Cricetulus griseus: one gene and its partners. The protein of the gene in region 3 purifies or fractionates together with the protein of the main gene of each other region. This does not show direct contact. Links are inferred from orthologs where the notes say so. Each region holds a gene or a part of one and is shown on either strand. Other genes may lie near its edges. The genes, in order: Jup, Ctnnd1 and Cdh5.

Region 1 (9,792 bases), on a different chromosome or scaffold from region 3:
ACTATGCAGCCCTGGCTAGCCTAGAACTCTCTGTATAGACCAGGTTGGCTTGGAATACATAGAGATCTCTACCTCTTGAGGACTGGGATCAAAGGTGAGCACCACCATGGCCAGCCGAGCGCAGTCCTAATGACATCAGCACACAGCGCATCTTCACTCCCGCCTCTGAGGTCCTGCACGTCCTAATTATATACCAGGTCCCTGAACAGCTGAGTCACTACTGTGTGTAAGGTCACATAGCAGAGGCCCCGTGACAGCTACAGAGGGGAGTGAAATTCCCCTCAAAGAACTCCCACTCATCTCAGCCGGGAAAGAGGAGAAAAAAATCGCATGGTCGGGTGGGGCTCAGACATGCTCTTCTCTTGCTAGGATAGCCTCTCCTTGATCAAGGCTGACCAAATCCACCCATCTGTCAAAGCCCTGCCCTCAGTACGAGTCTGCCTCTGGGCAATCTCAACCATTCTGTTGCTACAACTTACAGATCCTAACAGTCAGCCTGTTGTTTACGTTACTGTCTCTGGGTTGGGCTATGAGCAGCTGAGAGCCAGGATGGGTGTGGTGCTTCACATGTGTGTATAAAAGGATGCTGGGAGGCCCCTGACGCCTGTGCAACAGAGGAGCAAGTTACCTGAGCATTCGGACTAGCGCAGGGATGCCTCCAGACTTGAAGATAGCGAGCAACCCCTCCCGGTGGTGGGAGAGGTTGTGCAGGATACTCGTGGTGCAACGGGCTGTATCCAGGTCACTGGTGTTCTGCATGGTGCGCACCACAGCCGCCACCAGCTGGGGCGAGCCCATTAGGGCCCGGCGGGATGCCTCCTTCTTGGACAGCTGGTTCACAATCATAGCCGCCTTGGTCACCACTACCTAAAGGAAGTATGAGACCTTGAGCATACAGTCCAGGCAACTCCTCCACAGAGGGAAGGAAGGCAAAGGACAGGACATCCTTCCACAGAGCTTAGATGAGCCAGACACTTTGTGGGGAGCCAGCCTCATGGCTTCCTTCCCTCTGGGGACAGCTAACTTTATCCCACCCCACCTCCAGGCCCTTCACAGACCGGGTCCTCATCGTTGAGCAGCTTGGTGAGCTCAGGCAGGGCCCGGGTGGCCAACTCTGCGTCATCTTGGTAGTTGATGAGATGTACAATGGCCGACTTGAGCAACTGGGATGGCTCTGCCAGCCGCTGCAGGTTGGTGGTCTGCCCCTCCACCTGGGTGGCCAGCAGTAGAGAACTGTCCTCGCCTGACACACCTGGACACATGGCCTCCCGCACCCGCTTGGCTCTGGCCGTCGTGGACATCTGGTACTCCAGGTCACCTGGAAGACAAATGACACAAGGACTGAGCTACAGGAGATTTAGAGGGACCCTGAAGAGCAAGGTAAGCCACACAGACACGGCTCCAAGCTGCCTCGTGCTCCATCAAAGTATAGGGCATCACTCAGGACTCTATACCTAACAAGGTTCTGGGAAATCATCTTTGCCATTGCTTTTATTTATAGCATGAGGCCCATCTAGCCCACCCAGCACAGGGAACTCTATGACAACTAAGATCACAGCCATGACTTGCTTTGAAAAGACTCTTGTCTGACAACTATCATTACAAAAAATGTCTACAGCAATATGTTGTTATATATGTAGTACTGCATATTGTTCTGCAGTACAGTTCTGGGGAGTAAAAGTAGGGCCTCACATTTGCTCAGCAAGCATCTAACCACTGAGCTATATTCCCAGTCTTAAAAAAAAAAAAAAAATTGGGGGCCGGAGAAATGGTTGTGCAGTTAAGAGCACTTACTGCTCTTGCAGAGGACCAAGGTTCCATTCCCAGCACCTACATGGTGGCTCAAAGCCATAGCTTACTGGAGTTCCAGGAGGTTTGGGCTTCTCCCTTCTGGCCAGCATAAGTACTGCACCCATTTGGTGTATATACATACATACATACATACATACATACATACATACATACATGCAAATACACACACACTTAAAAAATTAAAAATGTTTTGTTTCCCAAGCTGACTTTGAACTTACTTTGTACTTGTAATCCTGCCTCAAGTCTACCAAGTACATGGGGGACATCATATACCCTTGCTATCATGGCCAGCTCAGCAATAATTATTAACAGCTATAGCTGAAAATGTAGCTCAGTTGGTAGAATGCTTGCCTAACAAGGTTCCACTCTCAACAATGAATAAAATGAGGCTTGGTGGGACACTTATGTAATTAATTAAAGCACTTCATAAGTGGCAGCAAGAGGAGTTCAAGGTCATCCTTGGCTACACAATGAGTTTAAGATAGCCTAGGCTATGGGCTGGAGAGATGGCTCAGAGGTTAAGAGCACCGACTGCTCTTCCAGAGGTCCCGAGTTCAATTCCCAGCAAGCACATGGTGGCTCACAACCATCTGTAATGAGATCTGGTGCCTTCTTCTGGAGTACACGGAGGCAGAAAGTTATATACATAATAAATAAATAAAATCTTTAAAAAACAAAACAAAACAGTTTAGTTTAGGTTACATGAGACCAGGGGCTGGAGAAATGGTTTATCACAAGGATCAGAGTTCAGATCCCAGCACCCACATCAAGCAGCTCACAAACAATGTAACCCCAGTTCTAAAGGATCTTAAAAAGGATGCTCTCTTCTGGCCTCCAAGGGTACCCTCGCCCACACATGTGTATACATTCACACAGATACACACATACACACACACACACACACAAATAATGACAAACAAAAAAGAAGAGCTAATGGTGGTGTTTCATCTGCCTGACAGTGGGTTAAATACCTTTCTCCTACTTTATCATTTACTCTTACAACCATCTTACAAGGCAAGTATAATACTATCTCCATTTTGCAGGACACTGAATTCAAAGGTCATAAAAGCAGTGGACTCGGGTGCCCAAAGTCCCGCCCCCTCCTCCACCTGTAACCGGCAGGGCAGTCATGGGATTAGACAAGCTAGACTTCAACATTCTAATTATATACTCACCCTCCACAAAATAGCAACTCTCTCCATACACAGGGGGCCAAAATTAGTCCCAGAGCACCACCCAAGATCACACAGTCAATTGAGAGACAGGACGGGACTGTGGCTTTGAGAAGGCAGGAGCAAAGGTCCTCAAGGGAAACACAGGGTTCTACCTCTGGGGTAGGCTGGGGCTATTAAAAAAAAGTCACAACAAATGTCCCGATGCCCCAGTAGAGAGTCAGGCAGAGAGTTATTCCCTAATGAATGGGGAAGGCGAGGCTGCCCACAGGGCTCTCCCACTTGTACACTTTATTTTAGCTCCCAACATGCACCTGGCCCTGCCAGGCACACAGGCTCCTGCCTGGGGCCAGGAAGGAGACCTGGGACACATTCATAGAGCCTCGACCAGCCATTGCTCACCCTGCAACTGTCCAGGCCCCAAATCCCACTACCTGGAATATTTAGGGCCCTGGGGGCATCTGTGAATGACAGTCCTAGAGCTACGTGCACCTCTGTCCCAGAGAGGAAGGAGCACCTGGACTGGCCAAGTATTCGCCTTTGTGTCAGGACCCAAAACTGACTCAGCGACTCTGTGCCCTGTCCTTGGGACATCTGCAAGTCATGCTCTAGCCCGTCTAGGCTTGAACACTGTGACGCTACCACCAGACTGGGATGGAGGGTTTGTTCCTGGTCTCTCTCATCAGATGTGTGTCTTCCCAATAATGCCCACGTTCCCACTGAGGGTGGCAATAAAGTCTCCTTATTACATCCCTAGAATCCCAGAAGCCAAGTGTGGGCCCACTCTACCAACCACTGGCACCGCTGGGCAGAGCCTATGCTTCCCTACACATTCAGAGTTATGGAAGTGACATCTGTGTCTGTCTCTGAGTAGCCACATGTTCCCCTTCAGACTTCCTAAGTCCCCAAGAATAGGAACTTCTCAAACCAGAGACTCCCTTGATCTACCTCCCACCAGGATCTAGCTAGAGTTCCTGCCCCATGGAAAAAACAAAAACAAAACAAAACAAAACACAACCCTGGAGAACACACCTTGCTTCTGGGGCACCCCCTGTGTATAGGTGGTGGTCTTCTTGAGTGTGTACTGCCTGCTGCAGGCGTCATCCTCATCCATGATGCCCTTGCTGCTGACTGAGGGCACACAGGTATTGACACCTGAGTGGATGCCTGAGTCGTAGGTGTACGTCTGCTGCCACTCAGTCACCTTGATGGGCTGTTCAATCAGGTTCATCACCTCCATGGCGGCTGCTAAGGATGAACAAGAGCACAATGTTAGCTGGCTGGAGGGACAACACCACCTCCAGTTTCAACTTGGCTGCAGCCATCTTCCCTGAAATCTGCCCTTCTTCTGACACCCCACCATAGTCTCAAGGAACTCAGACAGCAAGGTGCAGGGGTGAAGCAGAAGGGCACTCAGCCCAGAAAGGTGCTGCCCACCAGAAGCCGGCCTAGGCAGAGTAGAGCTGCAGAGGAGCCTTTGTGGCTAAGCCCTGGCCTGGCATCCCCAGCTCTGGTGTGGAGACGGAAACAGCCAGACGCTTCCAGGCCAGCCCCAAGCTCACTCACCAGTCTGTCCCAAGCCAGTATTTCAAGTGGCAAAGGAACTAAGGGCTTCAGGCAGCTGCAGGGGCCCTGCAGACTTGCTGCAGCTCCCTGGGGAAGGTTGCAGAGGCTGCAGCACCCAACCAGCCATTGGCTGAGAGACTGGGTGGGGTGGGGAAGCTGTCAGACAGGTTTCTCCGGCACACCTGGCTCCCTCAGCGTTCCTGAGTCTCACTTTCCAGAAGGTGAGCCTAACCAGGCCCTCCCCTCTTCTAGTGCCCAGCTTTCCCAGCATCTGAGCTCTACAGACCAGTTCAAATCTTGGCCACTTACTCCAAGCCAATCCGGCTCTCGGTTCCACCACTCTCACAGATTGCTTGCTGTGAGGACAGTGCTTGGGAAGAAGGACCCACTATGGATGGCACTTAGTAGGTGTTCAGTGTTGGGGACCAGGATATTGCCTCACCCCTAGGATGCTGCTCAGTTTCCACTTCCTGGAACCCAGGCTAGCAGCTGGCAGGCCTCTGGGGTGGTCACTGCGGTTGAGGAATCTCACCCTGCTCTGGGGACTTGGGGTCATCTGAAGGCTCATGAGGAAGTGTCCGCACCCACCTCAAGTGGGCTTCCCATTTGGTCTAATTGGTCCCACATCTGTGGACACTGACCCTATCACAACCACCACCACCCAGACACAGGCGGCCAGGGAGAGAGATGACGGAATGTCTGAGGGCCTACTATGTGCCCACATCTCTCACACATGCCTCCAGACACCTCACAAATGCCATCATTCTCACTCGTGGGTTTCAGAGCTTTGTTCCCCAACTCATAAATGTAGAAACCGGCTAGCAATGGAACCAGAAAGGACCGGCAGGCTTAACAGTGAGGTCTCCACCTTCTGCACTCCAATATGACCTCAGAAAACGAGCAGAGCCCAGGCTAGTCCACTCCTAAAATGGGGTGGTGGCCGGCATGACGGGGGAACCCTGCAACATGAGGGTGGGGCATGGCACCGAGAGGCGCCACCCCAGGAACAAAGAGAATCAGGGGCCCCTTCCCAGAGCGTGACGACAGAGGGGCATGGCAGAACACGCCTGTCATGCCAGTACCTGGGAGACTGGGATACAGGAATTACCAGTGGGAGTCAGCCACAGAGGTAGACACTGTTTCAGAGAGAAAAAAGGAGACCTTGATGAATGTTCTCCCTGCCCTTCATGGGACACACAGCCCCTCCCTCCCCTGCCACAAGCAGTCCTAAAACAGGCGAGGGCAGCACCAGCTCCCAGCGGCCGCCTTCCTCTATTCCCGCCACCCTGGGTGACTCAGAGTTTCGTTTGGGGTTGATAAACAGCAGTAGGCCCAGGCCACAGACGGCAGGCACTGGGCCACCAGATGCGCACAGCTGCTCCCAGACACTTGCCAGGAGTAGCTATTTTAGACTACCTCCACCTTCTTGTGCTCCCCTCCCGCCAGCTCCAGCAGCAGCGAAAAGCCAATGGTAGGAAATCAGGAGCTTGGAGGAGGCCAGCTCAGGAAAACCCTGCCTTCCCCCATCCTGTCCTCTGCCCCCAGGGTGGGTCCCAAGAGAGAACTGAGGAGCTTGGGAGGAATGGGTGGGTCCCAGAAGTCACCCTTGGGAGGGAGCAAAAAAACCAAACTCAAGCTCTTGAGATGGTGAAACCCATTGGCAATGACCCTCCAGTGCCCCATGGAGGCAAAGTCAAGAGGGTGAGGACGAAATGTAGGACAATAGGCCCTGCAGACATGAGCTCCCCAGTCTGACCACAAAGCTGCCTTCCACAGAGATAGCCATCTAACCCTAGGATCCAGAGAGACAGGAGAAGGCTCATCCCAAACCACAACAGTCAGCCTCGGGTGAGAAGGGAACACTGTAGTCAAGGCTAGCATCCTGAGAGGGGTTTGCTCACATGCTGGTCCTCATGCCCAGCTGGCCAGGCCTGGAGCCAAGGGAAGCCAAGGGTTGGATAGCTAGCTGCCCAGGGCCAGGCATGGGTCAAAGGATATCAGAGGGCAAGCATCCAGTTCTCTGACAGCCAGTGCATTCCAACCCTGCTGGCAGGCCTTTTGCTGATTCCTGATTGGCTCCGCACTGCAGAAAAGGTGGTGCTTAGCTCAATGCTGGGTCTACCTTACTGGGATTTAGTTCACCTCTGGAGGAAGTTGAGTCCTCTGCCCGAGGGGAGAAGGGGAGGATAAGAATGAGGGTGCTTGCAGGTGGAGGACCTCCCACCTATGCATTGATCATATTAGGGTCTGGTCTCAGCTTCATCACATATGCTGGGGACCCCTGGGGTTTGTTTTTGTTTTTGTTTTTGTTTTTTTAACCTCTCTGGGTTTCACCCACAGAAAGGCTGGCCCCATTATCTCAGAAAAAGCACTGGTGTCTCAGATTTTAAGGCAGTAGTGTTACCATGCAAGCGAAAGGAAGACTGAGAGTGAGCAAGAGAGGGGACACACCAGAACTCCTCACAGAAACAGCTGGAAGGCTGGTATTCCAGGATCAGACAGGACGTCAATCAACTTCACCTTTCTCCCTACTGACTCCTCAAGAGAACCTGGGAAATTCTTCCATAACAAGCGAAAAGTACAGGTTTGGCCATTCCCAGGGTGGAGAAGCCGCACCCAGTTTGGTCTAAGTATTGTCCACCCTGGATCCACAGGTCAGACCGTCTGCAAAGCCCCTGGACAGAACCCAGTTGGAAGTGAGGGAGACAGTGGTGGGGGCCCTGCCCAGGCAGTGGGCCAGAGATGGGTAGGGACAAGAGACAGGGACAGGGCGGGTTTCCTAGTTGAATGGGGGAACCTTTGTCTAGTGGTGGAGTTCTGCTGCATTGTTGGCAGCGGAGAGGAAGAAGCTAGCTCAGAGATCACAGGGTGGAGTAGGGGGGTGGCTCAAAGACAGGAAGAGAGAAGACACAAGCCCTTGAAGGGTATGCAAAGGGCCCTTCCCCCACTGGCTCCAGACTGGGGAAGAGCCCCGCCTTTCATGCCTGCTCTTCTGTACAGCCAGCTGGGGTGCTGGCATCAGGCACCCTCCATCCAAGCTGTCCTGTAGAATGACGGCCAGTCCTGACTTTAAAAATAACCCTACCAGAGTGACAACAGCCTCCGGCCTGGCCAGCACCTGTAGGGGACAGTCAGCAACAGGCACAGCTAGGCTGGGCTGCTACATGACAGTAAGACACCTATAAATATGCTCACGAGGGGCTAGAGAGATAGCTCAGCAGTTATGAGCACTGGCTGCTCTTCCAGAGGTCCTGAGTTCAATTTCCAAGGGATCCGATGCCCTCATACAGACATTCATGCAAGCAAAAAAACAAAACAAAACAAAAAAAAAACACCATTGTACATAAAATAAAAATGAATTATTAAAAAAGAGAAAGAAATATGCTCATGAAAACAGGCTGCTGAAAGACTATGTTGGCCGTCAGAGCAGAAACTAAGCACGGGTCCACTGTATGGGGAGCAAGGTTGGGCTCCCCTACAGGTTCTCTGGGTCAGAGACTGGTACCCTATCTGATACTCAGATCCATGGGCTTATCTCAAAGCACGAGGGGAGTGGTGGGTGAGCATCTTTGCAGAGGGGTCTCTATCAGAACTCACCCCTAACTGGTTATGGGCCTTCTAGCAAGTCAAACTATTTAATCTTGTGACCCCCGTTTCTCAGACTGTGTGTGTGACCTGAACGCGGCTGCCTCCCTGCCTCTCTCCTTCAACAGGTCAGTCCAGACAGAACAGCCCCCACCTTTCCTCCTCACTGCCTTTAGATCCAGCTGGGATATAGCCAGCAGTCGCACAGACAGAAACACACTCTATTATGATACAGTCCACCAGACAGACACAGAGACTTCTAGAGACTGCCGATACCAGGAGGGAACTCCTCCACTGTCCCCCAGCACCTGTTCTATGGTAGTGAGATGCTCCTGGGCAGACACCGTGGCCTCCATCTGCAGAACAGGGGCCATGCATGACCAATGCTCAGGACAGGAGAAGTCAAAGGCAACCCCCCACTTCCAGTCTGACAGTCCAGCTCAGGCCATGGCCAAGAAGGGGTCTGGAGTGGGAGGGGCTCAGGCCACGACCCAGCTGCTGTTTGTTCTCTTCTGGGCTGCGTCCCAAAGCAAACAGAGCAGGGTGGGAAAATGAAGGGGATGTTGTAGCAGAGGGAAGTGGCCCGGCCAAGTGGCCTGACCTAGGGAACCTCAGGGCTCCCCTGCAGAGGGCTCCAGCTGCAGCTGCATCCCTGTTGAGGACACTTTTCTTTGGGACAGTGTCCCAAGCCAGCAGATGAGCCCAAAGCAGGACTCCTGGGAATGGAAAATCCCTCCAGCTGTTACCAGCCACTAGCCAGCACCACTGGAGCTGAGGCAGCCCCATTAGCAGCAGTTGGATCCCGGCCAGTTAGGGTATGATGTTGCAGGGATAGGGCTGGACAAAAAGGACTGAATACTTAGTCCCCAGATAACACAGGCTGCAGAAAGTAAAAGCTTTGCAACAAGGCTTCATGAAAACGCTACGTTGGGGCCTCCAAGGTGGTTCGGCAAGGTAGGGTGTTTGCTGCTTAACGGATCTATGACTTGAGTTTAATCCACACGGTAGAAGGAGAGGACTGACTCCTGTTAAGTTGTCCTTTGGCTCCCACCTGTATGCAGTGGCACGCACGCCCGCGCCCCAAATAAATGTTAGAAAAATAAAAACTTGCCACAGTGAGGGCATGGGAGGCTCTAGGATGGGGGGCTTAAGAGTAAAGTGCTAAACCTGGCGGTGGTGGCGCACACATTTAATCCCAGCACTCAGGAGGCAGAGGCAGGCAGATCTCGGAGGCCAACCTGGTCTACAGAGTGAGTTCCAGGACAGCCAGGGCTGCACAGAGAAACCTTGCTTGACCTGCGCCCCCTCCAGCCCCCCAAAAGAATGAAGTGCTTGAATGACATGCAGGAAGCCCTTGTACGAGGGAGGAGTAAATCCAGCTCCCGTTGTATGCAGTGCACACTGGGAGATGGAGGTATGGAGCAGAGGACCGGAGGGTGGGGCAGTAGAAGGAAGGAAGGTTCGAGGCGGCTGCTTCACCAAGTTCAGATTAAAGACAACTTTTTATTCTCACAAACTGTTGTGCACTTCTCAGCTTTAAAAAATGATGATCAGGGGCTGGAGAGATGGCTCAGCAGTTAAAAGCACTGGCTGCTCTTCCAGAGGACCTGGGTTCAATTCCCAGCAACCACAAGGCCGCTCGCACCTCTCTGTAACT
Region 2 (9,792 bases), on a different chromosome or scaffold from region 3:
AGGAAGATCAGGAGTTCAAGATCAGCCTTAACTGCAGTTGATTTCAAGACCAGACTATGTAACTTAAAATACTCTCTCAAAAAAGAAAGGAAAAAGAGAAAATACCTACTCACCCCAATTAAACACTATTCTGCAACATTAGACAGGAAATCATCACCTACCTAATGATTTTGTGTTTGACCCCATATTGCTCATTGGAATTTCTTCCCGGTCAGGTTTCTTATCTATATGGAATTAGAAAGTTATCCAAATCAAAATCCAATACACCAAAATCTATATAAAGTACACATTTCTCTCTGGCATGCCATCCTTCCCTGCCTTTATTCAAATATCACTTTACTCAGCACATATGATGGGCCAAATAATAATCACAACCTACAGTTACGGGAAAGCCCTCTCCTACAGAAACCTAAATACAAGAAGATTTCAGAGGCCAGAAGACAGCTCAGTGGATGTAAGCACTTGTTGCCAAGCCTGATGGCCTGAGTCTCATCCCTGGAATCAACTTGTGAAAGGAACTGACTCACATAAACTGTCCTCTGACCTACCTACACACCCAAACAAAATAAACAAATAAACAATAAAAAGCACTTCAGCAATCTGAGCCATTATATCTCAAAGTTTCTTTAGTCTTCAAAATTATGAAGGTCTAGGTTGAAGATGTGGCTCAAAAGTAGGTAAGGCGGGCTGGAGAGATGGCTTAGAGGTTAAGAGCACTTACTGCTCTTCCAGAGGTCCTGAGTTCAATTCCCAGCAACCACATGGTGGCTCACAACCATCTGTAATGAGATCTGGTGACCTCTTCTGGTGTGCATATATACATGGAAGCAGAATGTTGTATACATAATAAATAAAATGTTCAAAAAAAAAAAAGTAGGTAAGGCATTCGCCACCAGAAGCTTAGATTCAGTCCCAAATCACACACATATAGAATAAATTAAGATGCAAAGGACTTTTATCGGTGTGGAATAAGTACATAATACTATATTCAGAAATGTAAACATCTATTCCACTTAGAAATACACTTATTACATAATCATAATCACCTTCAATTTAAAAAGCATTGTGTGTGGACTGCAAAGGTGGCTCATTGGAACAAGCACTTGCTGTGCAAGCCTGACAGCCTGAGTTTATTTCCCAGAAGCCATGAAAAAATACAAGAACCAGCACCACAGAGTTGTCCCCTGAGCTCTACTTGAAAGCCACAGTATATGTATGCCCACAACAACATACCATGTCTACAATAATAATAAATTTGAAAGACCAAAAGAAAAAAAAAGTAAGGAGCAGTTTAACATTTTTATATACCTCTTTTAACTTTGATTAATAAGCACACTTCCATAATTTTAGCACTTAGAAGGCAGAGGCAGGGATCACTGGTTCTACATAATGAGTTCCAGGCAATTGTAGGGTCCATGGCAAGACCCTGTCTCAAGAAAGATCATAAAACATAGATGGATAAGCTGTCTTGCCCTTGAATTACTCATATAGGATTTTGAAATATCATGGCATTGTCTCCCTGCAAGATAATGGTTTACAGAATTATGCAAATGTTATAAAATTAACACATTTTAGTAGTATACATGTGTATTTTTAAAACACATTTATATCATCACTTACATAATCATAAAAGTCATTTTTAACTTGATACTTCTATTCTTTTTTTTGGGGGGGGGGGTTTGAGACAGGGTTTCTCTGTGGCTTTGGAGGCTGTCCTGGAACTCACTGTTGTAGACCAGGCTGGTCTTGAACTCAGAGATCTGCCTGCCTCTGCCTCCTGAATACTGAGAATAAAGGCGTGCGCCACCAACTTGAGATACTTCTATACTTTTTTTTAAATAAAATTTATTTATTTATCATATATACAATATTTTGCTTGCATGTACACTTTCATGCCAGAAAGGGTGCCAGATTTTATTACAGATGGCTGTGAGCCACCATGTGGTTGCTGGAAATTGAAATTAGGTCCTCTGGAAGAGCAGCTAATGCTCTTAACCTTTGAGCCATCTCTCCAGCCCGATACTTCTATTCTTAACACCTTATTTTTTAATTTTTCTATTACTGCAGTGTGTGTGTGTGTGTGTGTGTGTGTGTGTGTGTGTGTGTGTGTGTGTGTCTCCGTCCCCATCCATACTGTGACATGGATGACCCTACAAAAAGCCTTTTAAGTACTGGGAAGTTACCAAGCTCAATAACATGGGTATGATTTTTCTTTTCAGGGGAGGGGAGACAGTGTTTTACTCTACATGTCAGGCTGGCCTTCCAAGTGCTAGGTTGAGTCACCACACTCGGCCAAAATTATGTGGTTATATTGTTTACTCAGGTAGTAAATACTGTCAGTTTTTGCTGTTGGGTTTTTGTTGCTGTTGTTGTTTTCGCTTTGTTTTATTTGTTTTTCTGATACAAGGTTTCTCTGCATAACCCTTGGCTGTCCTGGAACTCACTCTGCAGACCAGGCTGGCCTCAAACTCACAAGAGATCTGCCTGCCTCTGCCTCTCAAGGACTGGGATTAAGAATGTGGTGCCACCACCACCTGGCTTTGGTCCCTGCTTTTTTTTAACTAAAGTGATAAGGTTTCCACATTTATTTTTGAGAAAATGCTTGCCAAATAACCATGTTTCAGCTGCTTCACAAAGTAAAACAGCACTCTAAATAAGTAATATCTATAGTCTGCCTCAAGACAGCCACAGTGGCTCCCTATACAGCACAAGAGCTGCCCATCTCCTCATTAGCACTACACATCTAAACGATGTGTACTTAGGGGTATTACGTTTACAGCTCCATCAAGGATGCTCCTGAGTCAAGATGGCTTTTTATAGAGTACATGGTAATGAAAATAATTTGTTCAGTAGTGTTGCTACCCTCATTCATGTTGAGCAACCTGTGCAAACACTACTGTTTTTATGCCATCAGCACCTATGTCCAAGAGTTTTGGGGCCCTCACAGCACACTCCAAATCAGAAGCCAAAATCATCAAGAAGGGTTACAGTACATTCTTTCAGTGAAAGAAAAATACATACAATACAAAATACATACTTCATCTATGGTAAAGTGGTTTGAAAAGCTCTAATTCAGTAAGGGACGTACAACACTTGCCTAGAAAGCCCTGGGTTCAATCACACAAACATGAAAACATAAGTGCACACACACACAGAGCTATAAGCTAAAATAGTAATAGTGTTTTTTTTTTCTCTAGGCACTAGAAATAACAGATTTTCTAGTTGTCATTAATTTTTAATTAGTAATTAATCAAGCACATTAATCAACAGAACACAGAAATTTAAGAGGAAGAAATTAAACAGAAAAATTATGCCTTGCTTTCTAAGTTCACAGGCAAATAGAGGAGCCACACTCAAGCTCACCAACTGCTTTGATTTTGGTTTTATTTTATTTTCTTTTGAGACAGAGTCTCATGTAGCCAAGGCTGGACTTGACACATTGATCCTCCTTCCTTCACCTCAGAGTCCTGGACTGGGATTACAAATGTGCACCACCACACCCTTCCCTGCCTGTTTTAATTTCTAAGTTCAAACCTATTCTCTTATACATTATAATCCAGAGTTAAAGCATTACTGCTCTCTTCAGGGTCTAGCTCATTCAGAAATAAATACATATCCCATTGCTTAGTTAATAAGACATTAAATAATAGTGGGAGCACTAAAAAGAAAAAGGTGCACCTCTTAGATACTATACCTGATTTTTGGTTCCGATCAATGAGGGGGAGAGTGCTATCATCATATGAATGGCTGCTCTGGCTTCTAGATGCATTGTTTAGATTCACCTGTAGGCAAACATAAAACCCAATGTCAGAGAAACATGAATATCCACTTCTTTCTGTCCCCTCCTCCTAATCATGTACTTCCTGCTTCAGACACTGAAGGACCACTAACTTCCTTCTCCATCATCTGCCCTAGCCCTCACTCATACATCCTTCCCGTAATGGGCTTAATTCTCTAGGTTCCTACTGACAACTATAACTCTTTAGAAAAAGAATCTGAGGCTAGGCTGTGGCACTTATCTATAATGCCAGTACTTAGGGGACTAGAGGCAGAAGAATCAGAGAATGTTAAGTACATGGAGGGTCAGAGTAGATGGGGAGGGGGATCACAATGGCCATACACAATGACCATTCACTACCAGCAGCATCTACTGCATGTTCAACATTGAGAGACTGTGGGCACCACTGCATTAAGAGATAGTATGGCAAATAAAGTCTTCACCATCTGAAAGACTTGGATTTAGTATGATAGTGAAATAGAAGAAACCAAAGACAGAGGCACTAGCCAAGGACCAGAGGAGAAGAAAAGTCAAAGCTTTGATCAAGAGTTATTATACCTGGAAGTCTGATTTCTTCCATCCTTCTTTTTCCAGTGGCTTCCGAAGCTCCTTATAGCCCCAGATAGTCTGTAAGACAAGAGCTGCTGCCCGGACTTCTTTTTCTGAGCGATTCCTATAGAGTTATAGAAAGAAACACCATACAAAGTTTGGCTGACGACCAGGAAATCTTGAACCTGTACCCTCTAACACAGTGGTTCTCAATCTTCCTAATGCACAACACTTTAATATAGTTCCTCATGTTGTAGTGACCCCAACCATAAAATTACTTTCCTTGCTACTTCTTAACTGTAATTTTGCTACTGTTATGTATTATACCTTAATTATCTGTGCTTTCCAATGGTATTAGATGACCCCTGTGAAGGCTTATTTGACAAGCCCAAAGGGGTAGTGACCTACAGGTTGAGGTCACTGCTGTAACAACACAAGAATATAAAATTGTAAAAATGGGTGAAATCAAATTTTCACCAAACTGTATATTCTGTCTGAAAGACTGAAATAGACTAATTTGATGTAAGAGTCCATCATCAATTTATAGACCAGCATTAAGAATGAAAATAGATCAATACCTCTCCACATGTCAGAGGGTAATATATGGTAAAGTAATCTAACAGAACAGAAGAGGGCAGCTCCTTTCTGAAAACTCTTCTCTTACACTCAAATTCTTCCAGCTCTGATTAAGTACAAGCTCACCCTGATTTGTTGATCAACACCAGCTTCTCAATACCCTGGGTCTCTCGAAGCTTTTTGGCAGCTTCCAAGTTCTCAGCAATAACTTCATTGATGGTGTTCAAAATAGAGACCACGGTGTCTTCAGAGAAATTCCAGGAGGAGTTCTGCTGACCTCCTGGCAGATTCTTTACCAAGTTAGGAATGGCATGTTTGCCTATAGCAGTGAGACAAAAGTAACACATGTAGGAGACAAGGCAGTCAGGCCAGGCGGGGCCTTACAAATCAACTTCATTATTACATAAGACTATATCAAAGGGGCAAAGAACATGAGATAGCCATGAACCCACAGCCCCTCCTCCTTCCTCAAGTGCACTAAGACAACATGATGCTAGATATCAAAATATACCACTGATATCTTCACACAAACTAATGAAAACAGTATGTTCACTACTATTATATGATAATTCAATGGGACAGAGTCTTCTTTATGAATTAAAAAAATCAACAACTTGGGCTCTGCCTAGTACTAACAAGCTATTCTGGGCAAATGAAAAAATAGGAAAATTCTTAACAATGCCTAGAGGAAAAAAAGCAGATATTCAACAAATAATAGTGGCTATAATGTTTTTGAAGAATCATCACTTCATGTTTTTAAGAATCATTAAACCATGAACCTTTACCAACACTCAGATATATAAACTAAGGAAGATCCTATTCTTCGGTGACATCAACAAATGACTAAACATTTGCTGGAATCCAGGCACTGTACTAGGTACTGATTCAAATCCTTACCAATTAATTCTTTGTTCCGAGCATCCACAGCCAGGTTTCTCAGTGCCCCAGATGCAGCTTTCACTACTCGTTCATGTTCACTGGTCAGGAGGTCAGCTATGGCAGAGAGAGCCTTCTCTTGACGCAGAGCAGAGCGGATGTATCGACCATACTAGGAAGCACATGGGAAGTGGTGAAAAGATTACAAATGGCAGCAAACGAGTTAGCTAAATTTCCTATCTCCAAATCCATTTTCTCAGGGATACTCACTGTCCAGCGCCCAGCACACAAGTTCTGGATAGCTCCAGCGGAGGCTTCTAGGATGGCCGGCGTCTTGCTCTCCTTAAGAAGTGAAATGTATATTCGCACCACTTCTGGCTGAAATAAGAGTTCATAGCCTGTACAAGAAAAGTCAAGAGCAAACTCAGAGGCTTGATTCCATATCTCTTTCTTCTTAGATTTTTGTTTTCTCTTTTGAGACAGGGAATTGTAATGTCACACAGACTAGCCTCAAATGCCAGCACTATAAGCAAGAACCACTATGCCCAGCTGACCCCCTGCCTTAAGGTGGTGGCACACGCCTTTAATCCCAGCACTCAGGAGGCAGAGGCAGGTAGATCTCAGCCTGGTCTACAAGAGATAGTTCTAGGACAGCCTCCAAAGCCACTGAGAAACCCTGCCTCTAAAAACAAAAAACAAACAAACAAAAAAAGATAACTAGTCTAGCCTGAAGCAATGTACACACTTTTCATCTCAGCCCTTGGGAGGTGGAGGCAGGTAGATATGAGTTTGAAGCCAGCCTAGTCTATATAGAGAGTTCCAGGACAGCCAGGGCTACATAGTGTGACCCTATCTCAAAAAACAACATAAAATAACAACAACTAGTCCATGGCAAAAATAGAATAGACATCAATTCTATCATATTCAATTCCTGTCTCCTTCCTCCTTGACTTGTACTCCATAGCTAAATGAAGCCTTGTTTTCACCGTGAGTAATCAGGCTTAGTGATTCAATCTCTCAAACAAATTATTTCTGATTTAACTCAGTAATTCTCCCCACCAGGAATATAACTAAATGAAAGGACAGCCTGAGATTTAACATCACTTAACTAACATCTTTTATATTTATGGAAAGCTAGCAAGTTTATATTTATTAATACAATGAGCCCAAAAATCCAAGCTGCGATAGATTTCTTCTGACAGTAAGGTTCAAGATCAAAAAATAGTAGCCACTTAGCTAAGTCTCTGGCTTTTCTTTTCCTTTTTTGAGGCATTCTCTCACTCTCTACCCCAACCTGGCTTTGAACTCACAGCAATCCTCCTGCCTCAGCTGCCCAAGTACTACGTTTGCAGGCAGGTACTATTACATCCAGTCTAGCTTCTGACTTGAGACTAAATACTGTGAAGTTTCCCAATATTTTTCAACATCACTTCAAATCCAACAAGTCAGAGAGAATTGTTAATATAGTGCTACCATGTGAAATAGTGACTCTGCTTTCTCTTCACATCATATAAATCTTTTCGCCTTTTACCATGTGCAATAATGTTACCATGTGCAAAAACTGTATCTGAGCTCTCTGGAGACTGAGAAAAAGGAAAATTTACCTCGAGCAGGACTAGTTCTTTTAGGGAAATCCACTGTATCATTTGCTGGATCCTCTGTGGGCTTTTTCCCTATAAAAATGGGAGAAGGGTAGAGAGAATTCAGTAAAGAATTTTTAAAAGAAGGAAAGATTTCACCTCAGTTTTTCATCCTTCAGTCAGAATTTTCAGATCAGAGATGCAGCATCAAAAGAGGCAAAAGAAGGAAACCCCACACATACCTGTCCAAATAGGGTGGTGCAGAACAAGGACCAAAATCAGGCAATAGATTGTTACAAAAAGGATAACCACTCTTGCTACTAAGAAAGAGTTCTTATAATGGAGACTGCTATCCAGAAACAGCAGGTCAAAACCATAACCCAGAAGAGCTAAAACTTATTTCAATGCTTTTCCTCAACTAAAATTTTCCTACATGCATCCACAGGGAAGGGTTAGACAAGGAAATATTAGGGAAGGTAAAAACCAAAACATGCAAATTAGAAGGAGATAAGCGCCTTAAAAGATTGCACTCACCTCTGGAGAACCACTCATCTTCCAGTGCATCACCAAGGTGGAAAGCGAGGAGAGAAATGAAGGAAGAAAACGCAGGAGAAAGATGTCAACAGGATCATGGGCAAGTACACAAGAAAGCAGAGGAACAGGAGGAATAGGGAGGAAGGCCCCAGATTAGTTGAGTTCTTGTCTTTCAATACCCCATTTGCCAATACACTAACAACCATCACCACCATCACCATCACCACCGTCAAAGCATCCAGAACAAGGGGAGCAGCAGCAGAGCAAAAAAGGACAAGTCTCCACCAGGTAGACTTCCCGACTATTTGTAAGTCCTAAAAAGCTAAGTGGTCCCTCCCTGTCCCCCACATTAAAGAACAGGAACTAAGACTTACCTTTGCCCTTCTTGGCCCCAAAGCAACTGGCAGCATGTGGCCCAGTACTATTAGCCACACTGGGAAGTGCCTCTTGGTAGCGTTCAGCCTGTGGGATTTCTCGATGAACTTGATATGATAAGTTCCGAAGGAGGCAAACACAGTTCTCCACAAGCTTAGGGACACAAAACAAAAGGCCCAATTGGAAAAGACAATGTTTGTGGTGATTTCCAGGAAATCCTGTCTCCATAATTTGAATATTAAAGTATCAACCCTAAAATGCATAATTCAATCCATCTTCTCTCAGGTTGCTTTCTCAGTGCCCTAGGCTCCTCAAAATCCTTGTTATCTTCATGCTAACAGAAGAACTAACTACAGACATATAATGGCTTCTGAAACTATTTAATGATGTGACATTTAGGTCATTGTTTTCCCTACTTAGAAAACGTATAACCTAGGAAGCTACTGAGCAGCTTTAATATATATGGGAGAAGGAGAAGGGGTAAAGTCATTCACAGCACCTGCTGCACAACAAGCCAGGCATGATCTTGAATGTACCAATGTACCTGTAAACCCAGTGCTATAGGAACAGAGACGGGATTGCTGAAGTATATTTATTGCTAGTCTAGCCAAAGAATACAACCTCAAGGTGAGACCTTGCCTAAAACGAATAGGGTGAAGAGTACCTGAGTGACAAAGGACACCAATGTTTTCCTGGCCTGTGCTCTTGTGCACTTGCACTGAAGTACACATACACACACACACACACACACACACACACACACACACACACACACACACACACACAAAATACAGACACTTTGCTTCTTCTAAACTCAATGCCCATTTTAAGGAGAAGGGGTTGGTATTTTATATTATCTGATAGCCTGAAGTGGAAGATCTGAACCACGGTTACCTTGTTAACAAAATTCACTCAGTCATTAACTTACCTTGCTGTCTGAATCCTTCTGTCCAATTTCTGCCTGAACAATGAAAATGAGGGCATCAACTAAGCCATCACATTCCCGAAGTTTCCGGCGAGCTTCACTCCTCTCTGAGCTTACATTTCTAAGGGAAAACACAAAGTTCTGAAGATGACTCAAGTCCCTGATGCCCTCTTTGATATCTTTCTTCATCTACATCTAAAGCTTCCTTAAAACCTTTTCTATTCATTACAAATAAACAGTTCATACCTATTAAAAGCAAGGCATTACAGTTGGAAACTGACTGATTGTCTTCTAAACTTTTCATTAGCTTGTGGAATCAGGCTGAAAATGTATACCAGGGGCTGGAATGGGGAGACAATCCCAATAACCAGCACAACATGGTAGTTCAAGCCCCAGAAGACCTGACACCCTCTTCAGGCCTCCTCAGGCACCAGATACACATGTGGTACACAGAAAAATATGCAGACGAGACACCCATACACATAATAAGTATGTTTTAAAATGTATACCACAGCTCAAAATGGTAGTCCACACTTGCAATGCTAGCACTTGGGAGGCAGCAGCAGGAAGATCAAGAGTTTGAGGCCAGAGTGGACTTA
Region 3 (10,353 bases):
TTTGCTCTCCTTCATCAGGACCACCCACCACCACCATTATCACCACATTTCCATAATCGCCACTGTTACCACCTTCTCCAGCTCCTTCACTGTCACTAGCATCACCATCATTACCACAATCACCTGCTCCTTTACCAACCATCACATCCACCTCCACTGCTGAATCAACATCACCACTGTGATCTCTGTAATGGCCTCCACTCTTGCGGTGGTTTGAATAGGAACGGTCCCCAGAGGCTCATACATTTGAATGCTTAGGATGTAGCATTAGAAAGTGTGGCTTTCTTGGAGTAGATGTAGCCTCTTTGGAGGAAGCATGTCACTGGGGTGGGCTTTGGGGTTTCAAATGGTCAAGCCAGGCCCAGTCTCTCCCTCTTTCTCTCTCTCTCTCCTGTCTGCAGATCTAGATGGAGAACTCTCAGCTACCTCTGCAGTACCATGTCTGCCTTCCTGCTGCCATGCTTCCCACCATGGACTGAACATCTGAACTGTAAGCCAGCCCCAGTTAAAAGTTTTCCTTTTTGAGTTGCTCTTCATAGCAACAAAACATTAACTAGGACAACTCTCATCTCTCCTTATCCCCTTCACTAATATTGTGGCTTGAAAGTGAAATGACTCCTATAGGCTCCTGCATTTGGACACTTAGTTCTCAGCTGGTGGCTCCATTTTATAAGATTGTAAAATCTTTAGGAAGTAGAGCCTTGCTGGAGGAAGTGGATCATTAGGGTGGGCTTTAAGATTTTACAGCATGGCCCTAAATCCTGTTCATTCTCTGCTTCCTGACTTGAGAACACATTGTAACCATCTTCCTCACACTTAAGCCATCATATCTTCCTTGATGTGAAGGACTGTATCCCTTCTTATACTTTGAACAAAGTAAACCCTCCTTTGAGACGCTCCTTGTGGGGTGTGTTAAGGAAAGGATAATCACGCTGCAATCCACAGACCCAGAGAAGTCATATAAAGAGGAGAGGTCTAAGGGAATATCCCTGGATATCCCTGGGAAGGGGAAATAGAATAGATTTTGTGGGTGGACTGGGGGCAGGTGCATATAGAACAAGAGGGATCAGGCTGCAGAGGGAAGGATGGAGGGAGAGAGTACAGGGAGAGACAAACTGGAATAGGTGGGCATTTAGGGGGTGACGTGGAACCCTAGTGCGGTGGAAATTTCCCAGAAGCTATGAGGGTGACCCTAGCAAGGACTCCTAGTAATGGAGGATATGGAGACTGAAATGGCCAACTCCTGTAACCAAGGTAGGCTCCCAGTGATCAAACGTTTACACCAACCCAGCCACAAAACCTAGGACCCATAATCTGTCCTGCCGGAAAGATGTGCTGGAGCACTGGTGGCTCAGAGCTTGTGGGATGGCCAACCAGTGACTGGTCAAATTGAGGCCCAAGTCATGAGAGGGAGCCCATGCCAGACACACTGCCTGGATGGTCAGGATCTGGAAGTTGGATATTTCAGAGACCTAGGGTAGAACTAAACATGACTGACAAAAAAGTCAATGGAATGATTCCTAATGATACTCTGCTGTCCCATAGATCAGTGCTTAGCCCAATAGTCAGAAGAGAGGTACCATCCAGCAGCTGATGGGAGCAGAAGCAGAGACCCACAGCCAAACACACTAGGCAGAGCTCAGAAGATGGGGAGGAAAGATTGGAGGAGCCAGAGGGATTGAGGACACTAGGAGAACAATGGTCACAGAATCAACTAAGCAGGGCTCTCAGGGGCCCAGAGACAGAAGCGACAACTATAGACCCTGCATGGGTCTGCACTAGGTCATCTGCATACATGCTGTGGTTGTGTAGCTTAGTGTTCTTGTGGGACTCCTGACTGTGAGAGAGGGGACGTCTCTGGTTATTTGCCTACTTGTGGGACCCATTTCCTCCTACTGGGTTGCCTGGTATAGCCTTGATATGAAGGTTTATGCCTAGTCTTACTGCATCTTGTAATGCCATATTTGGTTGATAGGGAAATGGAAGAGTAATGGATCTGGGGGTTGAGGAGAGAAGGTTGTAGTCAGGATGTATTGTATGAGAGAAGAATAAAGAAAAAGAAGAAAAGAAAGAAATGTGAAAGTAATACAACTAGCATCATCACTGCCACAGTCTCTGATACTACCACTCATGATTATGGAGGCCTGGCAGCCGTCTGTACGAAAGCCCAAAAGTGAAACCGAAAGAGAGAGGCAGTCCCCTTCAAGTCTTGCTCTACCTCACCCCGTCACCCCGGCCACGCCCTCGCAAGCATGGTCAGGCACATCTGTAGCCAGCCCCTAAGTAGGCGTGGCTACAGCTTCCCCTACAGAGGCTCTGTGCCTTGGCCTGTGGTAAAGCAGTTTATCTTAGTAGAAGCATGTGGCAGAGGAGAATAGTTCACTAATGGCATTCAGGAAGCAAAGAGAGAGTAGAGGGGCCAGAGTCCCCAGATCTACTTCAAGGGAACATCCCTAAATGATCTAGCTTTCTTCTCCTAGGCCTCACTCTGAAATATTTCACCATCCTCACTGGGGCCACAACCTTTAGCACATCATCTTTAGGGGACACTGAAGACCTAAACTGTTGCAGGATTTCCACCTGAACACTAAACTATAACATTCTGTTTTAACTAACTAACTAACTAACTAACTAACTAACTAACTAGTCTTTTTGTGTGTGTTCATGAACGTGCGCACATGCATCAACCTCAGAGGCAATTTGTGGGAGTTGTTTATTTCTCTCTTTCTACCATGTGGGGCCTGAGGATTGAACTCAGGTTGTCAGAATACAATCTACAGACCCAGAGAGGTCATCTAAAGAGCCATCTTTCTGGCCCATAAACAAGCAAGCAAAACAAACAAGTAAGTTTTGTGTGCATGTATGTGACACAGGGCAGGTGTGTGTGTATTCTCGCCTGCCACTTTTGAACTCAAGTTGTCAGGCTGATACAGAAGTACCCTCATCTGCTGAATCATCTTGCCAGCCCTGAATGACAACATTCTGGCTCTTACTACCAAGGGCTCATGTTTGTCTCACAAACACTGTGTATTTGTGTTTCTTCAAGAGTCCCTGCTATAGCTACACTTCCTGCATTGCTCACAGGAAGTGTCCTTTGAGACTCAAGGAAGCTTTGGGCCTTTAAAAATAAAAGCCAAGCTACACACTACAAGACACAACGGTACAGGACAAGCATTCCTGTCTCATAAAGAGGAAAATGTTAAGTATCCCAGTTTACCGTATTGCGTTGGCATTGCACAGAAATTAACACCCATATTGGTCTAGAAATGTTGAACTTAATTTTTTTTCCATTTGTACAGGGGTAACGCACTGTATTAAATATATAAGGTGTTATCTACATGGGTTTGATTACAAAAACTAATAAAGTATTCTCTAAATAAAAAAAAGGAGAAAAGTGTTAACTGCCAACTTGACTGAATCTATTATCACTCATGAGACAAACCTCTGTGCTCACTTGTGAGGGACTGTCTATGTCAGGGGAGCCTGTGGGCATGCCTTTGAGAGATTTCCTGTTTTTAATTGAGTGGAATCCATTGTGAGTGGACCCATTCCCTGGGCAGAGGTCCAGGACTGAATACAGAAGAGAAAGTGAGCCGAGTAAGCATTCATTGTTTTGTTCTTGATTGTGGATGTAATAGAACCAGCTGCTTTAACCACCTGCTGCCTTGACTTCCCCTCCATAATGGACTGTATCCTTGAATTGTGAGCCAAAATAAACCTTTTCTCCCTGACATAGCTTTTGTCAGAATATTTTATCACAGAAAATATAAAAGAAAACTAAGATAAGAAGGGAGAATTGGACTCAAGAATGATAGAAATCTAGCGTGGAACACATCGAATCTTATAGTTCCATTTCTAGCATCTTGGGTACAAGGGCTTAGGTAGTCTGTCCCCTGTGGCCTATCTGTTTGCAGTATCCATGGTATCTCCCTTAATCTGGCTCTACTTCTGCCTTTCTGGCATAACTCACTTTTTGGAATCTCGATTAGAGATTTACCTTCATTCTCACAGATTTGTAGACCATCTTCTCAAGGGTTGCCTTCAAGGACTCCAAACCTACCATGCTATTTGACCTTCCAGTTTTCCTTTGAAATTTTGGTCAAAGCCTCTTTGACCCCACAACTGTTACATCTGTGTACCCACACCCCACACCCCAACCTCATGAGAATGATAGCCAGGTACAACCCTGGCTCCAAAAATAGCCGTGCCATCTCAGATCATGAGCACAGTGTCCACTGAGTACCTGATGGGTTAAACACACTGGAGGGAATCCCAATCCCGGGGAAATGATTCCATAGCCAGTCCTGTGAGTGTAGAGTGCTCTGGAGCTCTCTTCTCAAACAAGTCTTTGGATCTGATGTGGGTGGTGTATTGCTGATTCCTGAGGTGCCCTAAAGGCATCTTTCCTATCATCCTGTTGTAAAGTATTTGGTCTATTTTTAATGCACTAATTTAAAGGCTCACAAGTAAGACCATGTCCTTAGTTTGTCTAGAGTTGAGCCTGTGGAAATGAGAACAACACGATGGAAAACCCATGGCAGAGATAGTCTGTTCACCTCATGGTATCTAGGAAGCAGAGCATGCGTGGTGGGGGGTTGGAGTCCCAATATCACCTTTGAGTGCACACTACTACTGACTTCCCACTAGGCCACCATAGCACCACAGGGTAACAACAAACTTAGCACATGACATAAGGGCGATATCTTAAGATCCAAATCATCACCTCATCATTCAGACCACTGTCACCATAGCCACCACTTCCATTACCTTCTTCTCTATCACTGCCATGATCATTGTTAACAGCATCACCGTCATTACTGCTATTACTACCATCATAGCGTCCTCACCTTCCCTTTCACTATCACTGCTGGTGTCACCATTACTATGTCATACGACCATCATGACCATCACAGCTATCATCACCACCATAACCTCCTTCAACTTCCCTTTTACTAAACCACGGTGGTCATCATTACCACTACCGCCATCACCTTCACTCACTGCTACCACCATGGCCACCACCAGCAGCATTAACTCCCTCGCTTCCCCTTCACTATCATCATGACAATCACCACTGCTATCTCACTATCATTATCTTTATCATCTCCTCCTTTACTATCACTGGCATCACCACCATAACTATTATTACTATGGAAAGCACCTTCTCCATTATCACCACCACTGTCATCACCAAGACCAACACAACCACCAACTCTCTCACCTTCTTTACTATTGCTCTTACCTCTACCACCACTGCCACCACCAAGAGCGCCACCGCCACCACCATCACCCCGTTAGCATCCTCACCTTCCCCGTCACCAATCACCACTACCATCACTATTGCCATCACCACAATGACCGCCCCTATCCCACCACCACTGTTAACTTCAGCGTCTTATTCCTCACTATTACTGTCATAGTCATCATTCCCACCACCACCAAACCTCCCCAATCCCCATTACCATCACCATCACAAAATTGCCGCTTCTCCCACTGTTACCATCACCACTACCAACACCGATGTCGCTCACCGCCCCCTCCATCACGATTAGCTTCCTCAGTTTCCCATTTTCTATTACTATGATGTCATCACTATCACCAATGCCATTAACGTCCTCACCTTCCCTTTCATCATCCCTGCCACCATTACCACATCACCACAGTCACCACAATCACAACCACCTTCACCTCCCTCACCTTCTGCTAGGTTTTGAATGAGAAACGTCTCCCATAGGCTCATGTATCCCAACACTTCATTATTGGGGGAGGAGTATGGAACATTTTAGAACTGGAACCTTGCTGGAGAAAGTATGCCACTGGGGGTGGGCTTTGGGGATTTAAATCCTTGCCTCATTTACTGTTCTCTCTCTGCTTCCCGTGTTAGGTGAAGTGGGACCAGCCAGCTTCTTGTGCCAACTGCCATACTGCCCCTTCCCTTCCACGAGGGACTCTATCCCTCTGGACAAGTAAACCAGAAAAAAAAAACCTCTTTCTTGAGTTGTGATTGGTTATGATATTTTGTCACAGCAACAGAAAAGTAACTAATACAACTTTCATTTTACCATTACTGCCATTATCACCATGGTCACCACCATCATCACCACCCCAACGCCATGATTGTAACTTCATCACCTTTAATTTCACTCTCAAAATGACCAAAGACCACCGCCACCACCACCGCTGCCACCAACACCATTGACATCATTATCAACGTCTTTATTTTCCTTAGATATCCTATCACTGTCACTATCACCATCATTATCATCACTTTCTCTTTCCTATCAGCACAGTTGTCACCTTCACCATTATTGCCACCATGTTCGCCACCTCTACCACCTCTTATCTTTGTTGCTGTCACCCTTCAGTGACAACCACTCCTGTAGTCATCACCATTTGTGCTACAAAGGCCATGACTATGGTCCAGTTGTTGATAACTTCCATCACCCTGGAGCCCAAGGCTTACCTTTCCCACATAGTGGGGCAGTGAGGCATTTTTCTCTTCATCTATATGCATTTGGTTCCAAATCCAGTCTCTCTTCTGGCGGTGGTGGGCAGGCAGCATGTTGGGGGTGTCTAGCTGGGGAAGGTTAGGGCCTGCCATTGCCGCCGCTGCCAGCAGGCCCAAGAAGATACCCAAAGCAGCGGCCAGCTCTGTTAGCCTCTGCATCCTTTCAGGAGGAACAGATCTGGGGAAAGAGAATCGAAAATATCAGGGTATAGTGGCTACTGTCCTAGAGTGTGAGCAGCTCACTCTAGGAACCAAAGTTCCTTTGTCTCTCTCCTCCTTTATCTTTCATTCAGCTGACACCAGCAGAACTAGACCCTGGTCTAAGTGGGGAAGGCAAGCCCAGAAACAATTTCTCCTTACACCCACACAGGCTGGCATGAAAGCAGGCATAGGGGGATGAGATCTCCAGGCTGGGAAGGACACTTGTAATGCCAGTGCTCATGGGGACACTCAGATGAGGCACAGAGAGGCCAATTTCACCTTTGAATAAGTAGCACAGCTGAGAATAGAGCCCAGACATCGATCACAATCAGTCACTGTCATCGAGAGTTCACTGTTTGCCTGGCTCCATTCTAAGCCTGTTAGACACTCTATCTCATTTAATCTTCCTCCCAACTTCCAAGGTTGGTGTAATTGTGACCCTCATTTTGCTTTTGAACTGAGACACAGAGACACTTAGTAACCTCCCCAAATCACACAGACTGTAAGGAATAGAACTAAGACTTGGACTAAATCTGTGTGGCCCCAAATTTCAGCTCATTCCTGATGCCTTCTGTGCCCCACTAGCTGCTTGGGTTAGATTTAAAGATTCCTCCAAACATCTCTCCAGCTCACTCCAGCCTGGAAGCCCCTCTAGCATTGATGTGGCCTTCAAAGGGCTCCTAGGAAATCCCAAACATCTTAATCCGGGAGTTAGCCTCTCACTCCAGAACTCACAAGTGATAGCCACTTTAGAGGATGGGTTGGGTGGGAGTTGAGAGGCTGTGTATTCATGCTGGCTTCATAATTTGTGGGTCCAGTGTAAAACAGAGTGGTGGGTCTTAATATTTTTTTTTAAAAATGGAATTTTGAGATAGAGATAAAAGAATTTTAAACTGCAAAGGGCCCCTTTAAGTGAGGGCCCTGTGCAGCTGTGTAGGCTGTCCACTCTGGAAGGCCACCTGTAGGTTCGGAATGTGGGTCACCCAGAGATCAAGTCCTGCCTCTATTCTAAATTTCAAAAATGGAAAATTTCCAGTGCCTCGTGATTTTTGTTGGAGGCCATGTCCATCGGTCATCACCATGGCTTCTCAGCTCTAACCTCCCCATGCCACCCATCCCAGGTCCCTGTGTCACTGACCTGCAGATCCTAGGATAGTATGGAGGAAGAAAATGTGTGCCTGGGGAGAGCTGAGGGCCTTCAGGGAGCTGGAAGGCATGACCTCCTCCCCTGCTATTGAGGGAAGGGGTGGATCCTGTGCCTCACTGGAGGTTTGTAAACTCTAGTAACATCATCTCTGGACCATTGGCGCCAGGCTGGCCTCAGCGAGGGCTGGGCTGTCTGTGCTGACCTTAGCACCCATGGTTCAAGTCTGTCCTAGAAGGAAGTGGACTCCAGTATCCCGGAACAAGACCCTGTGTTGTGCTGTGTGCCTAGGGGAAGCTCTCTCTCTCAGGCCTTGACTTGTTCAACCATCAACAAAAGGGTCTGCCTAGAACATTCTGGGGGCCCTTGGAGTAAGATGCCAGGCAGAGGAAGACAGTGAACAAAGGGGTGGGGGAGAGGAGTGGAGGCAGAAGATCTGCCAGGAATCTGGTCCTGACTAGGGCAGGGGGTGGTGGTAATATGACCCTCTGCCTTCACCTTGCAGGCAGTAATGTGAGTCATTTCCTTATTTCCTTCTTGGCCCCGGGAGGGACTGCCAGGCTTGGGTTTTTCTGTTCCCTTCAAGGAAGAAGCAGCTAGGAAATGGAAAAGTAATATAGTAGGAAGTGAAACAGAGAAGGAGGGGAAGAGTTCTCAGCCCTGGAGTAAGCAGAGGGTGAGAGCCTAAACTCTGCGCTGCTGCTGGGGGTGAGACCTCTGGGATGCTGGACTCCACTGGGCCTTGGAACACAGCTGTCCCAGAGCTGTTTGGCACACTGGGACCAAAAGGAAGTGCAGACAGTGGCAATCCCATTGGGAGATGAAGCTGTGAAATAGCCATCAGAGACTGGGCAGCCATGGGTAGCACTTTGGAGATGCTTTTATTATATTTTGTGACACTGGGGGGGGGTGGCAGGGAGGTGTGACCAAAGGCCTTGTGTGTGCTAGGCAAGTGCTCTACCACTGAACTACACTCACAGCCCCTGCAGGAAATTATTTAAGGTCACGCCTGAGTGTTTCTAAGAAGGCCAAAGGGAGGAAGAGAATTTCAGGACACAGCACCAGCAGGAATGAAGCCCTGATTTAGAAGGACAGTTACCATGTACCCTGGGTAAGGCAGAAATGAACAGCAAGGGCCAAGGCACTGGAGAGGTGCTCCATCAGTGTCGTAGGTCAACGATGCCCTCCAAATATCCATGTCCTGTCCACTGAACCCAAAAGGTTACCTTACACAGCAAGAGGGACTGGGCAGATATACTTAAGTGGAGGATCTTGCTTGAGGCTTAATTAAGATGGGGACTCGATCCTAGGCTACCTAGAATAATCCCAGGGTCTTTTGAAAATAGAGGCAGGAGGGTCAGATTCAAAAGAAAGTTGGAGTTAGACCTGGTGGATCAGGCCTTTAATCCCAGCTACTTAGGTGGCTGTGGCAAGAGGGTCTCAAGACCAACATCTTCCTTGGCTACAGAGTGAGTTCAAGGCCAGCCTGCGTGATCTAGGGAAACCCTGTCTCACAAATAAGGATGTAGTTCAGTTGGTAGACTGCTTGCCCAGTATGCACAGAGCCTCATTTTTTATCTCCAGCACCATGCAAACAAGGTATGGTGGTACATGCCCATAATCCCAGCATTTAGAGGGTAGAGGATCAGAAGTTCAAAAGTCACAGTCAGCCACCTAGGAAGCTAGAGGCTAGCCATGAGACCTTGCCTCAAAAATAAAGTGAAATAAAATAAAATGTAGAGAGAGGGTTCAGGATGCATTTCTACAGTCGGGCACTTGTCTCAAATATGTGAAGGTCTGGATTCCAGCACCACAAAGAGATGTAGTGAGACTCACCTGAGGTGCTGAGAGACTACCAGCTAAGTGACACAAATGGCCCTTGGAGCTAGAAGAGGCCTGGGCACCAGTTCCTCTTGAAGCCTGGAGAGGGGTCACAGCTCTGAGTTCAGCCCTCTCTGATCCAGTTCAGACTCCTGGCTTTCAGAACGGTAAACCGATACATAAACAAACACATGTGCTTTAAGCCCTCAGATTTGTGGTAGCTTGTCACCATCATCGGAGGATTATGGCCTGCTTATTGTGCTTGTTCCTGAACACAGTCCTTAAGTGGCACATGCCTGTAATCCCAGGACTTGGGAGGCAGAGGTAGAATGACTGCCAGGAACTTGAGGCCAGTCTGAGCTATATAGTAAGATCTGGTCTCGAAAGAGCAGTAACAATAATACCCCATCCTGAGCATTTGTGTAGATCATTTTGTCTCCTAGATCTTCTCTTTGCCCTCACTAACCTCTGCTCTGAACCACAGAGTTTCCCCTGGGACTCCTAGCCTTGGCCTTGGCCTCTGGCTGTGTTTAGCCAAAAGGTGTCCATTGGTTGCTCTGGTTATGGGAAGAGAGAAGTAGGCCACTTCTTCCCGGCCCTCTGGTCCGCCTGTCTTTCCCTTTGCAGTTGCACTCTCCATCATGCCAGATCCTAGTGGGCAGCATCTGTGGGATTTTTG

Evidence for each region.
Region 1: the proteins of Cdh5 (region 3) and Jup purify together in Homo sapiens (affinity purification with western blotting; 3 studies listed by BioGRID and IntAct, with this or other methods). This does not show direct contact. The link is inferred for Cricetulus griseus from reciprocal best matches to the Homo sapiens genes CDH5 and JUP.
Region 2: the proteins of Cdh5 (region 3) and Ctnnd1 purify together in Homo sapiens (affinity purification with western blotting; 3 studies listed by BioGRID and IntAct, counting the BioPlex papers as one, with this or other methods). This does not show direct contact. The link is inferred for Cricetulus griseus from reciprocal best matches to the Homo sapiens genes CDH5 and CTNND1.

Annotation. Positions count from the first base shown.
Region 1 is NC_048600.1:113,443,016-113,452,807, forward strand, and holds part of Jup (junction plakoglobin), read right to left. Parts: intron 4,233-9,792; 5' UTR 4,225-4,232; coding exon 4,017-4,224; intron 1,319-4,016; coding exon 1,059-1,318; intron 868-1,058; coding exon 629-867; intron 1-628. UniProt on the Homo sapiens protein: Common junctional plaque protein. The membrane-associated plaques are architectural elements in an important strategic position to influence the arrangement and function of both the cytoskeleton and the cells within the tissue.
Region 2 is NC_048599.1:90,923,270-90,933,061, reverse strand, and holds part of Ctnnd1 (catenin delta-1), read right to left. Parts: intron 9,315-9,792; coding exon 9,197-9,314; intron 8,422-9,196; coding exon 8,268-8,421; intron 7,912-8,267; coding exon 7,894-7,911; intron 7,453-7,893; coding exon 7,384-7,452; intron 6,178-7,383; coding exon 6,050-6,177; intron 5,952-6,049; coding exon 5,801-5,951; intron 5,223-5,800; coding exon 5,030-5,222; intron 4,452-5,029; coding exon 4,337-4,451; intron 3,783-4,336; coding exon 3,695-3,782; intron 225-3,694; coding exon 162-224; intron 1-161. UniProt on the Homo sapiens protein: Key regulator of cell-cell adhesion that associates with and regulates the cell adhesion properties of both C-, E- and N-cadherins, being critical for their surface stability.
Region 3 is NC_048596.1:180,280,245-180,290,597, reverse strand, and holds the start of Cdh5 (cadherin-5), read right to left. Parts: upstream 6,668-10,353; coding exon 6,464-6,667; intron 1-6,463. UniProt on the Homo sapiens protein: Cadherins are calcium-dependent cell adhesion proteins. They preferentially interact with themselves in a homophilic manner in connecting cells; cadherins may thus contribute to the sorting of heterogeneous cell types.